Struthio camelus: one gene and its partner. The protein of the gene in region 2 purifies or fractionates together with the protein of the main gene of each other region. This does not show direct contact. Links are inferred from orthologs where the notes say so. Each region holds a gene or a part of one and is shown on either strand. Other genes may lie near its edges.

Region 1 (7,901 bases), on a different chromosome or scaffold from region 2:
CCGGCCCCCCGCCCGCCCCCCGCCGCTCCCTCACCTTGGCCTTGCCCTGGAAGTTGAAGGTGAGGACGTACTCGCCCCGGCGCGTCTCGCTCTGCCGCACCAGGAAGACGCCGTGGCTGCTGGTGCCCCCCGCCAGCACCAGCTGGGCCGCCTTCAGCCGCGAGAGGGTGCCGTGGAACCAGGGGTACTCGGAGAGCGGGTGCTCGGGGTCCCCCTCGCCCGCCTCCGCCTCCGCCTGGAAGAGGAAGGAGCCTGCCGAGGGCACGGAGAGCATCAGAGAGACCAAGGCGGAAAGAGGGAGCCCTAAAAACCACCCTACAGAGCCCCAGCGCCGACCCCGACACCCCAAACCCTCCCCAAACACCCCCAATGCCAGCCCCGACACCCCAAACCCTCCCCAAACACCCCCAATGCCAGCCCTGACACCCCAAACCCTGCCCAGACACCCCCAGCACCAACCCCGACATCCCAAATCCTTCGCCAGACCCCCAGTGCCAACCCCGACACCCCAAACCCTCCCCAAACACCCCCAGCGCCGACCCCGACACCCCAAACCCTCCTGCAGAGCCCCAGCACTGACCTTGACACCCCAAACCCTCCCCAAACACCCCCAGCGCCAACCCCGACATCCCAAATCCTTCGCCAGACCCCCAGTGCCAACCCCGACATCCCAAATCCTTCGCCAGACCCCCAGTGCCAACCCCGATGCCCCAAACCCTCCCCAAGACCCCCAGCACTGACCCCGACACCCCAAACCCTCCCCAGACCCCCAGCACCAACCCCGACACCCCAAACCCTCCCCGAGACCCCCAGCGCGGTGCCCCGTCCCCCCGCACCTGCGCCGTCGGGGGTGTCGGGGAAGGGGGTGTGCAGCAGCCCGGGGGGGAAGGGGGCCTGGAGCCGCTCGGCCGCCTCCTCGATGGGGATCCGGGGGGGCAGCTCCGGCGGCAGCATCTCCATGGAGTCGAAGTGGGAGGCGGCGATGGAGACGGAGCTGGGCGACACGGAGGCCGAGGGGCGCTCGGAGAGCCCGCCGTAGGCGCCTGGGGGCGGCGGGGAGGCCGTCAGAGCCGGCCGGGGGCGCCGGGCCGGGGCGCAGGGCGCCGGGACTCACCCTGCGCCAGGTGCTCGCTGCTCTCGCCGGGCAGCAGGGGCAGCTCCCGGCTGGGCACGCTCTCCGAGTGGTTCAGGCACGGGGCGGCCGGGCTCTCCGCCTCCTCCCTGCGGGACACGGGCCGGAGGGGGGGACGAGCGCTCGTGGCCCCGTCCCCGGGGCGAGGGGACAGGGTTGGGGGGGGGGGACCCGCGCCAGCGCTGCCGAGGGCGGGGAGGGGGCAGCAGAGGGAAGAGAGGCGAGTGCGGGCGAAAGGGGCCGCCGGGATGGGGGGCAAAGGAGGCGGCCCGGGGCGCGGAGGGGGGGCACGCGGGGCTCACCCCGGGCTCATGCAGTCCTGGATGTCGGCCAGCCACGACTTCATCTGCAGCGAGTCGACCGTCTCCAGGATGTACTCGAGCGAGTTCTCCATCTGGCGGAGCGCGAGGAGGAGGAGGAGGAAGGGGGGGGGTCAGCGCTTGCTGCCACCGCGGCCCCCCTCGCCTCACCCCCCCCCCGCCGCCACCGGCACCTTCAGGACGAACGTGTTCTCCTTGTCGGGCATCTCCAGCGGCGTGGTGGTGCGCACGGCCGTCACCGCCGAGCACAGGATGCTGACGCGAGCCTTGGTGGCCTGTTGGGGACGGGGCGAGGTGACGGGGGACGCCAGGGGCTCCGGTTCCCCTCGCCTCCGCGTCCCCGAGCCCTTCCCCGTCGCTCCTCGGGGACGGCGGAGAGCGGATCCCGGCGCTGCCCCCCTCCGCCGCCGCCCGAGCCCACCTTCGGCGGGACGTAAAACTCCAGGGCGTAGCCGTCCCCGTCGCCTTTCCCGGCCTTCCTGAGCAGCAGGCGGCACCGCTGCCAGCGGGCACGGCCCCCCGCGCCCGCCCCGGGCCCGCCGTCGTCCGCCACGATGAAGTTGAGCAGGCCCTCGCGCCGGACGCTGCAGGGCTCGGCCCGGGCGCCGGGGGCTCGGCCGAGGCGCAGGCGCTCCAAGCGCTGGGCCCAGCGCTCGCCGGCGGCCGGGGCGGCATCGCCGGCGCCGCCGGACGAGTTGGAGTTGGTGTTGGCGCCGGCGGCGGGCGGCTCGCGGCCGGCGGCCGGCGGCTCGGCCGCGCCGCGCCACTGCAGGATGCCGCGGACGCTGCGGCCCACGCTGCGCAGGGAGAAGCGCTTGCGCAGCTTGGCCTTGGAGCCGGCGGCGGCGGCGGCCACGTCCTCGGAGCTGCGCGACTGGCCCCCCGGCAGCCCCGGGGCGGCGACGGCGGCGGCGGCGGGCTCCAGCGGCGAGGCCACCGACGACTCGCTGCAGGTCTCCGAGACGTCCCGGGGGCGGTGGGCGCCCGTGAAGGGGGCGATGGCGCAGCGGGGCGGCGAGGCGTCCCCGCCGGCGCAGGCTCGCGTCACCTCGGCCTCGAAGTGCTCCACGAAGTGCTCGGCGAAGCGGCGGGAGAAGGCGGCTTCGGCCCCCGGCGCCCCGAACTGCGGGTTGTCGCTGACGAAGGCCCGGAAGCGGCGGGCGAAGTCCCGGGCGGCCGCGCGAGCGTGGGTCTCGCAGAAGTCCCGCCAGCCCGGGGGAGCCGGCGGGCAGGGCGGGGGCGTCCCCCCCCCGCCGCCGCCGCCGGCCCCCGCGCTGCCGTTCATGCCGCCGGCGGCCCCGGGGGGCCCGGGCGCCCCCGCGTCCCGCGGCCCCAACGCGCTGCGGACGCCGCTGCTGCCCCGGCGGCCGCGCTCGTCCTCACCTGCGGAGACAGAGACGGGGCGGTCGGCCCGGGACCGCCGGAGCTTCCTCCTCCTCCTCCTCCTCCCGCTGGCACCGCTCCGGGCTCTCCGGGAGCCGTTCCCGGCCTCCCAAAGTCCCTCAATCTCCCCCCCAGAGCCCTCATCCTCTACCCAGCACCCCATAAGGATGGCCCTGACCCCCTGGAGCCCCCGGATCTGCCCCCCAGACCCTTCATCCTCCATCCAGGACCCCGCAGGACCACCCCGATCCTCTATGCTCTGCCCAGGACCCCATAAGGACGTCCCTGACTCCCCAAATCTGCCCCCCAGACCCTTCCTGTCCTTTCGTGACCCTGCAGGGCAGCTCTTGGCCCCGCACAAATCCCCACATCTACCCCACAGGCCCCTCTGGGACCCACACAGCCATCTCAGACCCCCCCCAGACCCCACATCTGCCCCACAGGCCTCTCACAGACCCCCTACAGCCATCTCAGACCCCCCACAGACCCCACATCTGCCCCACAGGCCCCTTGGGGACCCCACACAGCCACCCCTGGCCCCCCACAGACCCCACATCTGCCCCACAGGCCTCTCACAGACCCCCTACAGCCATCTCAGACCCCCCACAGACCCCACATCTGCCCCACAGGCCCCTCGGGGATCCCATACAGCCACCCCTGGCCCCCACAGCCCCCACATCTGCCCCCCCAGGCCCCTCGGGGACCCCACACAGCCATCTCAGACCCCCCACAGACCGCACATCTGCCCCACAGGCCTCTCTGGGACCCCACACAGCCACTCTCAGCCCCCCACAAACCCCACATCTTCCCCGCAGGCCCCTCGGGGACCCCCCACAGCCCCCACATCTGCCCCCCCAGGCCCCCCGGGACCCCCCACAGTCATCTCAGACCCCCCCCAGACCCCACATCTTCCCCGCAGGCCCCTCGGGGACCCCCCACAGCCCCCACATCTGCCCCTCAGGCCCCCCCGGGACCCCCCACAGCCACCCCCGGCCCCCCGGCTCGGCCCCCCAGACCCCTCTGGGTCCCCCGCAGGGCCGCCCCCGGCCCCCCCGGCCCCGGTGCTGACCATGGCGGCCCCGCCCCGCCCCGGCTCCGCGTCGCTGGTCCCGAGTGCGAACGGGGCGGGGGGGAGGGGCGGGGGCGGCCCGACCCAACCTCCCCCCCACACACCCGGCGGCTTCCGCTTCCGGGTCTCGCCGCTCTTCCGCTTCCGCCTCCCGAGGTGGCGCGGGGGGGTCGGAGCGCCCCCAAGTGACCGTGGGGAGGGGGCAGCACTGACCGGAGCGGCCGCCCCGGGAGCATCGAGGTGGGGCAAGTCGGTGCAGAGCGTCCCCCCTCCTTCTTCGCCGGAGCGTAGAGAGGGCGAGGAGACCAGAGCGCCCCCTCCCCCCCCTCCCCCGGCTGCTCACCATAGAGACGGGATGGCGGCGCCTCTTGCTCCCGCTGATCATAGAGCAGAAGGCTGAGGGTAACTAGAGCGGCTCTAGGAGAACCATAAAGCTGAGAAGACGGAGGCAGGCAGAGGGCCCCCAGAGAGCCATAGAGAGCCAGTTCGGCTTCTTCCACGCCTAGACTGTCTCAGCCGCCCGCTGCCACCATAGAGAGGCGAGGCTATCGAGCCCCCGCTCCGTACTAACGTAAACACCATAGAGCCAGCGCGTGGAGGACTAGAGCGTCGCCCTGCGTGAGACGTAAACTCTAGCGCGGAGCGGCGGGCGGGGCCAGAGCGCCCCCCCCACCCCGAGCGCTGGGGGTCGCCATGGAGACCCCGGTCACCCCACCGCGCGGGGGGGGACGACGACATACAACACCCTCTCTTCCCGCCGGTACCTGAGAGGCGACAGTCGCCGGGGGGGGAAAGGGGGGGCGGCGGGGTTGAGGCAGGAGCCGGGACTCGTTCCCGCGCCCCCCCCCCGCTGTGATGCGGCCGGCGGAGGGATCTCACTGGAGGCGCCCGTGTCCTCACGTGCCCCTCCGCCCCCCCCAACCCGGCCGCGAGGAGAGGCGACGCACTGCGCATGCGCCCCACCCCCCCACCCCCTTCGGCGCGCGCATGCGCGGCCGCCGGATTTTGCGGGTTGGGGGGGAAGGCAGGCGGGTAGCCTCGGCCGCGCATGCGCAGCGCGGAGGGGGCGGGAGCGGCGCCCTTTGTGGCGGCGGCGCGCATGCGCGGCGGGAGGGGAGGGGGGACTACTTTTTTTTTTTTTTTTTTTTCCCTGCCGGCGGAGGAAACGCGCGTGGAGCGAAGCCGGTGCTGGAAGGGGGGGGGGCGTTTCCTCCGCCGTCACGTGAGCAAAAAGCGAAAGAGGCCGGGGAAGGGTTATTATTAAAAAAAAAGAAAAAGAGGGAAAAGCCGGCGCGGCGCGCATGCGCGGTGTCTCCCCGCCCATTGTGCGGAGGGACACAGGGCGCGAGGGGAGGCGCGCGCGCTGCGGCCGCCGGCGCCCCGGCCCCCCCTCCCCTCCCCTCCCCTCCCCGGTCGGCTCCGCCGCGCCCGGCTCCGCGCGCGCCGCCGCCGCCGCCACCCGCCGCCGCCACCCGCCGCCGCCGCCCCGCGCGCGCCCCCGGGCGGGGGGGGAGGGAGACGCCGCGCCGCCGCCGCCGCCGCCGCCATGTTGAAGCAGCCGCAGCCGCTGCCCCCGCAGCCCCCCGCCGCCGCCGCGGCGCCGCCGCCCGCCGCCCGCAAGGCCCCGCCGCCGCCGCCGCCGCCTCCCCCCGCCGCCGCCGCCGCCGCCGCCAGCCCTAACGGCAGCCTCAGCCCCGGCGGCGGAGCGGCCCGCGGCGGCGCGGCGGGGGGGGGGGGAGGCGCCGGAGGAAGCGGCGGCACCAGGTAACATCCGGGTCCTGCCGGGCCGGGAAAGGGGGGGGTTGGAGGGGGGGGTTGGAGGGGTTGGGAGGGGGGAAAGGAGGGAGCCCGGCGCTGATTGGCCGGCGGCGCGGCCAATCAGGGCGGGGGGAAGGGGCACGTGGGGGGGTGGACGCCCCCGCCCCCCCCCCCCCGCCGCGGCCTCCCCCAAGGGGGTGGAAGGGGCCCAGGTGTCCGGTGGGCCACAAGTGCCAGTGTGCCCCCCCCCCATCAGGGGGACCAGGGACCCAGGTGTCCGGGCCCCCCCCCATCAGGGGGACCCCGGTGTCCGGGCCCCCCCCATCAGGGAGACCAGGGACCCAGGTGTCCGGGCCCCCCCCCATCAGGGAGACCAAGGACCCAGGTGTCCAGGACTCCCCCCCCATCAGTGGCACCCAGGTATCCAGACCCCCCCATCAGTGGGACCAGGGGCCTAGCTGTCTGCCCCCCCCATCAGAGGGACCCAGGTGTCCGGGCCCCCCCATCAGTGGGACCCAGGTGTCCGGGCCCCCCCATCACTGGGACCAGGGACCCAGGTGTCCGGGCCCCCCCATCACTGGGACCAGGGACCCAAGTGTCCGGGCTCCGCCCGCGCCGCGGTCCCGGAGGCTGCACCCCCCCGGCCCCACTGGGCTGCGGGGACCCGGCACATCCCTCATTTGCGTTTCAGGGGCCAGAGCACGGGGAAGGGGCCCCCCCAGGCGCCGGTAAGTGACCAGCGAGCTCGGGGCGGGGGGGGGCGGCGGCGGCGCGGGGGCCGCTGGTTTGGGGGAGCCCCTCACCCCTCCGCCCCCCTCCCCGCAGGTCTTCGAGGGCGTCTACAACAACTCCCGCATGCTGCACTTCCTGACGGCCGTGGTGGTGAGTCCGCGGGGCGGCTCCGGCGCTGGGGGGGGCGGTCCCGGCGCTGGGGGGGGCAGCTGCGGTGCTGGGGGGCGCCCGGGCCGGGCCGCGGTCCATCGCCTCCCCCTCTCCCGCCCAGGGCTCCACCTGCGACGTCAAGGTGAAGAACGGCAGCACCTTCGAGGGCATCTTCAAGACGCTGAGCTCCAAGGTGAGTGCGGGCAGCGGCGGCCCCGGCCTCGGGCTGACGCCCCCGGCCCCGCCGTGACGCCCGCCCGTCCGTCCGTCCGTCCCCGCAGTTCGAGCTGGCGGTGGACGCCGTGCACCGGCGCAACCCCGACCAGCCCTCCGGCCCCAAGCGCGAGGACATCGTGGACACCATGGTCTTCAAACCCGCCGACGTCATGCTGGTGCACTTCCGCAACGTGGACTTCAACTACGCCACGAAAGGTGCGCGGGGAGGGGGCGGTAGAGCCGCGTTGGGGGGGGGGGGGGGCGGGCGACGGCCAGGCCTCACCCCCGCCCCCCCTGCAGACAAGTTCACCGACTCGGCCATCGCCATGAACTCGAAGGTGAACGGGGAGCACAAGGAGAAGGTGCTGCAGCGCTGGGAGGGGGGCGACAGCAACAGCGACGACTACGACCTGGATTCGGACATGGTGAGGGGCCGGGGCGGGGGCCGGGGCGGGGGCGGCGAGCGGCGCGGGCGGCCTCTGAGCCCTCTCCTCCCGCAGTCCAACGGCTGGGACCCCAACGAGATGTTCAAGTTCAACGAGGAGACCTACGGCGTGAAGACCACCTACGACAGCAGCCTCTCCTCCTACACGTGAGCGCGCCGGCAGGGCCGGGGCGGGGGGAGCAGGGGGTCCGGCCGCCGCCGCGGGGAGCCCCTGGCCGGGCTGACGCCGCGCGGGCCCCCCCCCGCAGGGTGCCGCTGGAGAAGGACAACTCGGAGGAGTTTCGGCAGCGGGAGGCCCGGGCGGCCCAGCTGGCGCGGGAGATCGAGTCGAGCCCGCAGTACCGGCTCCGCATCGCCATGGAGAACGACGACGGGCGCACGGAGGAGGAGAAGCACAGCTCGGTGCAGCGCCAGGGCTCCGGCCGCGACAGCCCCAGCCTGGCCGCCGCCAGGTCGGCCCCCCCGGCCCCTCCGAGCGCCCCCCGGCCCCTCCGAGCGCCCCCAGCCCCTCTGAGCGCCCCTCGCCTCTCTCCGCAGGGAGAGCAAGTACAACCCGCTGCCGCAGCGCGTGCGGGACGGGTCGCGCGGCGGCGTGCGCTGCGGCTCCTCCCGCGGCGGGCGGCCCGGGGTGGGCTCCCTCCCGCCTCGGGGCGCCCCCCACCACGCCGAACCCGGCCCGGAGCAACGCGGCATCAA
Region 2 (8,000 bases):
GGGGGTAATACTGCATTTCAGAGACTAGCCCAGCTGTGGATAGACTCAACCCTGCTATTGTGATGCAACTGGTAACAGAATTAAGAGCCCTGGGTGGACAAATGGCTACTGAAGACAGAAATGGGACCTGAAGAGAACGAGGAGGGAAAAAAATCCCCCCACAAACCCTGGAGAATGAAAAAGGCATTGGGAGAGCAGAAGGACTGGTGATGAAAAAAATCTAGGACCTGACAGAAGAGGAGTAAAGATTGAAGAAGTCCCAAGAGCTGAAAGCAGTCTGAGGCTGGCAGAGAACTGCTGGGAGGAATGTCATACATGCTTGTCCTGTTCTTAATCTTCCCTTCGTATCTGGTTTTAGTAGATATTACCAGCAGGCTACTAGGCTAACTAGACCTTGGTCTGACCCACTGTAGATTTCAGTATGTCCCTACCATGGTGCTTTTGGCAACCACAGGGCAAACAGACATGACTGTGAAAAGATGAATGGACTTTTTAATACTGTGAAATAATCTTGCTGTATTGAAATAATGCCCACCTTAATGTCATCATCTTCAGCCAGGTTTCCTAAGGAAGCGAGGCTTAAATTATCAAGGTGCGTGTCTTTGAACTGGATGACCCATTCCAGGCGAGTTTAACAAGCCTCCTACACATTGAAGGCCAATCCTTTTGGTGCAAAGCTGAAGAAGAGGTTGCATCAGCTCACACTTTATTAGATGCTCGGGAATCCTCACAGGACAAAGTCCTGTATCTTCAGTCAGAGCTCACATCATCCTAGACACCAAAACCAATCAGTCACAGCAGGCAAATCCACAGGAAACCAGTTGTGTGTCTGTTAAATGACAATTGGCATCAGATCAGTGGAGCGTTTCACACTTCTCCAGATTAAGTGTTCCTGGCTGCTGTGCAGCCTCAGGCTATGCAGGGACTGCCAGCTTCCTTGACCTGCACCTCACATCCTGAGAGCAGCTGACCAAGAGCCACTGTATGCATGCCACATCGTTCCAGGACTAAGGGGAAGAGGGGGCCAAGGAGGAGTTTACAGGGGTCCAGTCACAGTGGATGTGACTGCAGCAGCCTCTGCTGGTTTGGTTCTTCCCATAGGGGAAATAAAAATTGTTACCCCGTAACTCTTCCCACACTGGCACAGCCTAGCTGGCCACACATGGCTCCAGGCTGCAGTTAAATCACCTAAGGATTACACGGACTTCCCAGAGCTACACCTCTCGGAGTGAAGGTGAGAAGGCGCGGAGCTCTAACAAACCTCAGTCAGGAAGGGAAAAATGCAAGGCAAGTTGAGCTCAGTTCTGCAGCCTGAAAATTCTTTGGAATAAGGCAGAAGTCTTCTGAAGCCTTTGGATAGCCCATAAAAATCAACGACCCCACTTACAGCTCTTGAGCGAGCTGACAACCTGAGTCCACGCTACTCTCAGAAGTAACTGTTTTGCAGAGCTACGGATCTCATTGCTTAATAGCAAACTGTTTGGGGCAAGATTAATTTGTTTCTGAGAAACACCATCCATGCACATTGATATTGCTGTATGAGTGATCTTGGCCGGCTATCCTTAGCTGAGACATGGGACATAAATACTTGTGGCTGAAACACTGATGTTGAGATAAGTCAACAAATCAGTCTACTCAGCTTTTAGTCAAGCTAAAAGTCTTGCTGTCAGATCATGTACAGAAGTCTAGTTTTCTTTACGTAGCACTTGTTTTATTCAGGCATTTTTTTTCATGCAAGTTTGACATTCTGGAGAATTCTCTAAGCACCCATTTAATAGGGGCCAGCCTGAAAAGGTTCGGAATTAGTTTGCACTTTTTTTTTTTTTTTTTGGACCTGGAATTGCAGTACAAATAAACAGGCCCTTACCCCCTGTTTGTTCCTAATATAGATCTAAACGACCCTGCCAAAGTCAGCGGAAGCGTTCTCTTGAGTTCAGGACTTGCTGCTGGGGAATATTAGATGGAAGGTGAAGCAGTTAGTACAAAACTAGTTTCTTCTTATGCCCAAAAGACCACGGTGAACTAAGTCAGAGCAAACTCCTCAGAGATAAGTGAATTTGCAGGTACACTGACATAAAGCGGTTTTGTTAAATAAAGTTCTTGCAGCACATTTGCAAAACACATGCTTTCCAATTCTGTCTTCTGTAAGGAGTATGGCAAAAACACATTATGCTGGAGTTGTCACCTCACAGGTAGCCTTGCTGTTAAGACAGGAAAGTCACATCTTTGGAAAACATAAAAATAGGGGCAGAGGAACTCACTCAATTGTACAGTTAAACTAAGAAGACCACAATGTATTCAACCAGTAAAAACACTGTTTGTAGTGCCCTCAAAATGAGCCGTATCTACGTAGCTAGTTAGTTCATAGGACAGTGATGCATATACAAACCAGACACACCAACTGAAATCAGGGTATCACCTAGCCCAGTATTGCACTTCCAACACTGGCCCTAAGCAGACGCTTTGAGAAGAGTAAGAACAGGAAAAACACATATATTACTCCCCTCTTTTTCCCTGCCCATATATTCTCCCAGCTATTTTCAACTCTTGGGATTTCCTGATACTGACGTAATTTTTCAGTTTAGTAACCATCAATAGATCTCTTTTCCACATACTTGTTCAGTCATCCCATGAGTCCACGTGATCTCATAGCCACAGTGTCCTCAGCAGATGAGCTGCTGGGATTTGTGCCAAAATTGCTAGCCAAACAGCAGCCAGCCCACGCTTAAAGAATATTTGGCTTGTGAATGACCAACGTTTTGGGCAAAGTCTCTTCTAGTTATTTGGGCCACAAAATTAACATTGCTTTACCAGCTTCCTAGTAAAGCTCTACTTCCGATGGAGGAGATGAGCTCAGGAGGCTCACCTGGTTTCAGCACCCTCACCTACCAGTTGCATGCAGACTCCAGGACAAGGGAGGTGCACAGAGATGTGGCTCCGCAGAGACCTTTCCCAACCTCACCCCAGTTCCAGATGCAACAACATTTGTGCAGTGCCCAAAGCAGCTAACAGCGTTAAGGGCTTTCTCCATCTCGAACACCGTAAGGGCTTTCTCCATCTCAAAACAATGATTGCTGTACACTGTTATCACAGGACAGCAAAAAAAAAAAAATTCCCTTTGGATCAGTTGGCCTGCAGCTGTGGAAAGCCATCAATTGCAATGGAAGAGTAATTAGCACTCGTGAAAAACTACTATGCTTTGTGCACATCCAATTGTGTAAGCAAGCTGAACACAACCATTTTATTAACAAGTGTCACAAGGCTTCAACTGCAGTGTTGAACTTTAGACGGAAAAAAACCCCAGCTTGGTCTGCTCATCCAGGCAGGGCTCCAAGACTGAATATCTGAGATATTCTGAGTAAATCCAGGATGAATGGACTAAAGTAAAAGCAGGAAATTCTTACAGACATGTTTTGCCCAGCAGTAATAAGACAGCTTGCCATGAGCATAATAGATGATCTGATTTTTCAAACTGAAATTGCCTATGGTTACTCTTTACCAACCATGACACAACTAGAAGTAAACAGGCAAAGAAACAGGAATGCCGGCATTATTCCTTTCACATGTCAGTTCTTAGTCTTTAGGAGGTAATTTTCCCCTGAACTAGTAGTCTGACCTATTTTTAATGGCAAAGCCAACAACTGAACCACCTATTTGTGAAGCATGACTTCTTTCTAGTCCTTTGAGGCACCGTGTTCCTTCTTCTCACCTATCTTGAGGCTACAAGCTACTTCCTTGTTTGACTACAGTTCTTCTTTTTGCTTGCCAAGGGTGATTTCATGAAGTGCAGGCAGCCAAAAATCCTCTGCTGGAACATCAGCTCACTGCTGTTGAAGGGCTGGAGTTATTTTCAGCGTCGGCACTCTTGGCTTTCACTGACACGGCCTGGCCTTTACAACACAACGTGCTCTCCCACGCACGCTTCCCTTTTAGCGCTGACGTGCTTTCTGTGGAACCGCTGTGTCCCAGGCAATATGGTAATACTGACAAGAAGAACCAGAAAGACCAGGCAAAATTATGCCCTAGCCCACATCTGAGCTTTCTATTACAAACGCTGCATCTTTATCCATTTGCATGGCTTTCCCTTCAGAGCATGCTGGCAACTAAGCAGCTGGGGGAACTGCACAGTGTTCAGCAACTTCCTTTCCCCCCAGGCAAAGGAAGACTTAAGAAAGCTGCCAGCTCACAACCTTAAGGAGTCGTACTATTAGCATAAAGTCAGGCAGACTCTGTTCCAGCCAGCACTGCTTTAGCATCTTCAACAACCAGGTTACTTCTAGGACAGCGGCACATGGCCGCAGCCGGCACCTGCCAAGGCACAGCCTGCCCTGGCCCCCGCAAACCTGCCGAGAGACGAAGCAGACCCGCACTAGCAGCAGCTTCATCTTTTCCTGCCACAGCCGCACTTTCTACCACGAGCCCCTGCCCCACCGTCCGGGCCTCCCCCCCAGTGCCGAAGGCCCCAGCCTTCCCTGGCACACCGGGGCCCACCCCACCGGCTCTTAGCTCTGCGGGCCGCCTCCTCCCTAAACCTCGGCCACCGGCCCCAGCTCCAAAGGGACGGCAACCCCCCTCCCCCGCACGGCAGCGGCCAAAACCCTGCGGCCACCGACGACATGGCGCCGCAAGGAAACCCGCGCCCCACAGGAAAACAGGAGGCGCCGCGCCACCCTACGGCGGCCGCGAAGGCCACGAGGAGCGTTGTATGCTGGGATTTGTAGTCCCCATGCTGCCGCGGGGGACCTCATAGGCGGAGAAGCGTTCCGTCACTGATGTAATTTGACCCTTCTCCCGCCCCGTCTCCTTCTCCTTTTCTACCCTTATGGGCTCTACGGCTCACACCAGCACATTCCAGCGTGGGTTCTACGGGAGGGAGGGGGGGTCCTTTCTCAGGGACTGCCCGCAGCGCCGCCTGAACAGAAACATGGGATCCTTCGCTCGCCTCCGGCTTCCGTCCCTCAAAACACTTAGGCGCCCGCCTGGACGTCTTCGTCTCGTTTGGCAACGCGGCCTGGTGCGGCGGGGAGGCAGGAAGTGCGGCAGAAGCAGGCCAGACCGATCAGGCAGCGCGCTCGGGCAGCCCTCTGGGAGCCGGGTGAAGGGTCATGCCGGGGACCTGCTCCCTCCCCCACCCTGACATGCCAACCCGGCAGTCGGCGGCGTAGCAGCGCGCGGGCAGTGTACGTGGGGGCCGGCGGGCGGCGGCGGCGGCGGCGGCGGCGGCGGCGGCGGCGGCGGCGGCGGCGGGGGGGGGGGGGGGAACGCGGCGCGGGGGGCAGGGCGGGAGCAGGCGCGCGCCGGCGGGCGGGCGGGCGGGCGGGGGGGGGTTCGGTGGGGGAGGGGGTAACGGTCGAGCCCCCCTCTTCCCCCGCCATGGGGAGAGGCGGGGGCGGCGGGGCCTGCGGGTGGCGGGGCGCTGAGTGCCGGCTCTCACGCAGGTTTCCCCCCCCCCCCTCCCCGGTCCCCGCCGCAGGATGGAGTTCGAGCTGCTGGAGAGCGACGTGCTGGAGTCGCTGGAGGATCTGGGGTAGGTGCCGCGGCGCCGGGGGCTTGAGCACCGCCCTGGCCCCGGGCCTTGCCTTGCCCCGGCGCCGCCGTCGGCTGGGCCGGGGGGAGGTGGCGCGGTTGGCGGGTGATGGCCCCCGGCAAGGGGCCCCCGTCAGGGGAGCGCGGCTGCCCGCCGGCGGCGGGGGGGGCGGGCAGGGAAGCGGGGCTCGCATCCCCCCGGCGCTGCGATGCCGGGCAGAGCCGCAGCCGGGGCTCCCCGGCTTCAGCCCCGGCAATATCCCTTTCCTCATGACCACCTCGGGGGGGGCCGGCCCTAAAACCACCCGTGGGTAGTGTCGCTTTGGCGTAAGGAAACGCGCGAAGCCAAGCAGGCTGCTTTTAGCCGCAACGTCTTTGCAGAGTTTTTGCCCCCGTGGTGAGTGTTGGTTGCCCAGACTCTGGTGATGCCCTTCCTGTCAGTAGAGCTCTCCTGGCTGGAGGTGGGGAACGAGGAGAGAAACCTTGTCGGAGAAGTGAGGGGAGGGGAAAGCGTTTGGGCTTCAGTTCTTGTGGAAAAAAAAAAATTGGTAAAAAAAAAAAATAAATGACGTAGTATTTTCCCTTTAGCTGCTTTTTTTTAGAATGTAATGCAAGAAACTTGTGTTGTTTAATCCTGCTACTCTGTCAGAGTCAGCAGAGGTTGTAAAAAATATGCGAGAAAGCAAGCGGAACATTGTCGTAGTGTAAGCTTGTCTGCCTGTAAACTGTTGAGGGCTCAGAAAAGAGGCCGTTGCAATTTTACTGCTGCTGGTTCTGTGCAAACAGCTGTATTTTCTCACATTGGCTGCATTCCCGTAAATCACTTTGTTGGAGCATAATGACTCTAGCCACAAAGATTATGTTTCCAGGCTAAGTTGGTGATGATAGCTCCAATGCTTGACAAATAGGCTACTGTTTTTGCAGGTATTTGTTTGACTGAAATGTGAAAAGGTCTCTCTCATGTTGCAAATACCGTAAACTTCTGCTTTTTTTTCCTGCCACATGTTTGAAAGGATATTACTGACTTGAAGGAGTTATGATTTGTGTAGTAATCACAGAAGTGATTAGAAACTCTTGCTGTTGATTCTTGACATATTAAAATAAAGCGAACAAGCCAAATGGAGTAAAAAGTAAGTCAGTGATATCAGTGGTGATATTGGCAGCAGTGTTTGTAAAGAAAATTTGGGGAGCAAAAGACAGGACTTCAGCAGTAACAGGAACAACCTGGAAGACTGCTACATGCATGCAACTAAAAGATTTCTGTTAGTTTCCTTGTGTTTGTACAAGCTTGGGGGCTTGGGGTTTTTAAGCTTTGACAATAATTCCATTATCCTTTGAAGTTCAACATATTTTTTTTCTAACTAAATGCTGAAGACTTACTTTATTGCTTGATTTTTGTTTAATAGCATTGCACATCATAAAATTGTTTGTTTGTTCTTGAAGTTGTGTGAGAACTGCTCAAACAGTGGCCTCTTCCCTTTTAAGTCAGTTTGAACTATTGAAAAAGCAAACAAATCCGATATCAAAACGCTACTGAAGGAGAACGTAGCTCGAGAACGTACACTGTGGGAGAGGGGGAGGAATGGAAGCATGGGCCTGAAAGCTTTTAAAGTGCTTTAGAAGAAAAAGGCTGGCGAGGAAGCTGCAAGTTGGATTACTGGCTGAATAGCTGTATAGTTGAATCATGGTTATCGGAAATAATATAGTTAAGATGTCATATCTATCAAAGAAAAATTTCAGAGAAGGAGCCTCTAACATGACGAGCAACTTAAATCCAGATCCTGCCAAAGCAAAAGGCTTGTCGTCAGCTCTGCTTAGAGCTATAACTTGATGTTTCTATTTTGAGTCTTGTGTGTTCCTATACACGTGTAAGTCTGATGAGTCTGTGCGGTGGGACTTAAGCTTACTCTAAGTAGCCTGTTGGAATTGCATCTGGCTCACTGTGGTAATGCGGTGGGGCTGAAGTAGATCAAATTATAACTTCCCATCAGCTCCGTATCATTAATCAAGCTGCTCTTTGGAGTAAAAGTTACTTGGAGTATGGCTTCTTCATTTTGGTTGGGTGAAGCTATTACAGTGAAGAGAAACCCTTTATATGTAATGTTAATCAAAAGAATAAAGTATGGAAAAATAACATATTATTTTACTCTTTGAGAGATTTGTTGCTTCGGAGATTGGCCAAGAGTTGACTGAACTCACTGGGTCGCTGTGACTTAATGGGTAACTTTACAGTGGAAACTTGAAATAGCAATTTCAGTTGATTATACTCACTCTTGGATGTCCTTCTGTTTTGAGTGCGGTACGCAAAAGTGATATTGTGGATTTTATACTCTGGTAAGCTCTAACTTTGTTCCTCTGCCTGGGTAATAAGGCTGTTTCTCCCTCCTCTTCACCCTCCTCTTCCCCCCAGCAAGGTACACAGACGTCCTGAAAACTACATCTTTTAAAATCAGTTCTGTAGAATCATGCTTTCT

What was found. Proteins that work in one complex are often made in the same cells at the same time.
Region 1: the proteins of FAM98A (region 2) and ATXN2L purify together in Homo sapiens (co-immunoprecipitation; 3 studies listed by BioGRID and IntAct, with this or other methods). This does not show direct contact. The link is inferred for Struthio camelus from reciprocal best matches to the Homo sapiens genes FAM98A and ATXN2L.

Annotation. Positions count from the first base shown.
Region 1 is NC_090973.1:100,281-108,181, forward strand, and holds the start of ATXN2L (ataxin-2-like protein), read left to right. Parts: upstream 1-4,891; coding exon 4,892-4,915; intron 4,916-5,525; coding exon 5,526-5,668; intron 5,669-6,353; coding exon 6,354-6,390; intron 6,391-6,487; coding exon 6,488-6,544; intron 6,545-6,665; coding exon 6,666-6,737; intron 6,738-6,825; coding exon 6,826-6,976; intron 6,977-7,060; coding exon 7,061-7,185; intron 7,186-7,260; coding exon 7,261-7,352; intron 7,353-7,453; coding exon 7,454-7,657; intron 7,658-7,742; coding exon 7,743-7,901. Other genes in the region: SH2B1 (SH2B adapter protein 1), read right to left, coding at 35-252, 837-1,043, 1,115-1,221, 1,435-1,526, 1,626-1,727, 1,874-2,737. UniProt on the Homo sapiens protein: Involved in the regulation of stress granule and P-body formation.
Region 2 is NC_090944.1:103,512,706-103,520,705, reverse strand, and holds the start of FAM98A (protein FAM98A), read left to right. Parts: upstream 1-4,991; 5' UTR 4,992-5,180; intron 5,181-5,438; 5' UTR 5,439-5,474; coding exon 5,475-5,527; intron 5,528-8,000. UniProt on the Homo sapiens protein: Positively stimulates PRMT1-induced protein arginine methylation. Involved in skeletal homeostasis. Positively regulates lysosome peripheral distribution and ruffled border formation in osteoclasts.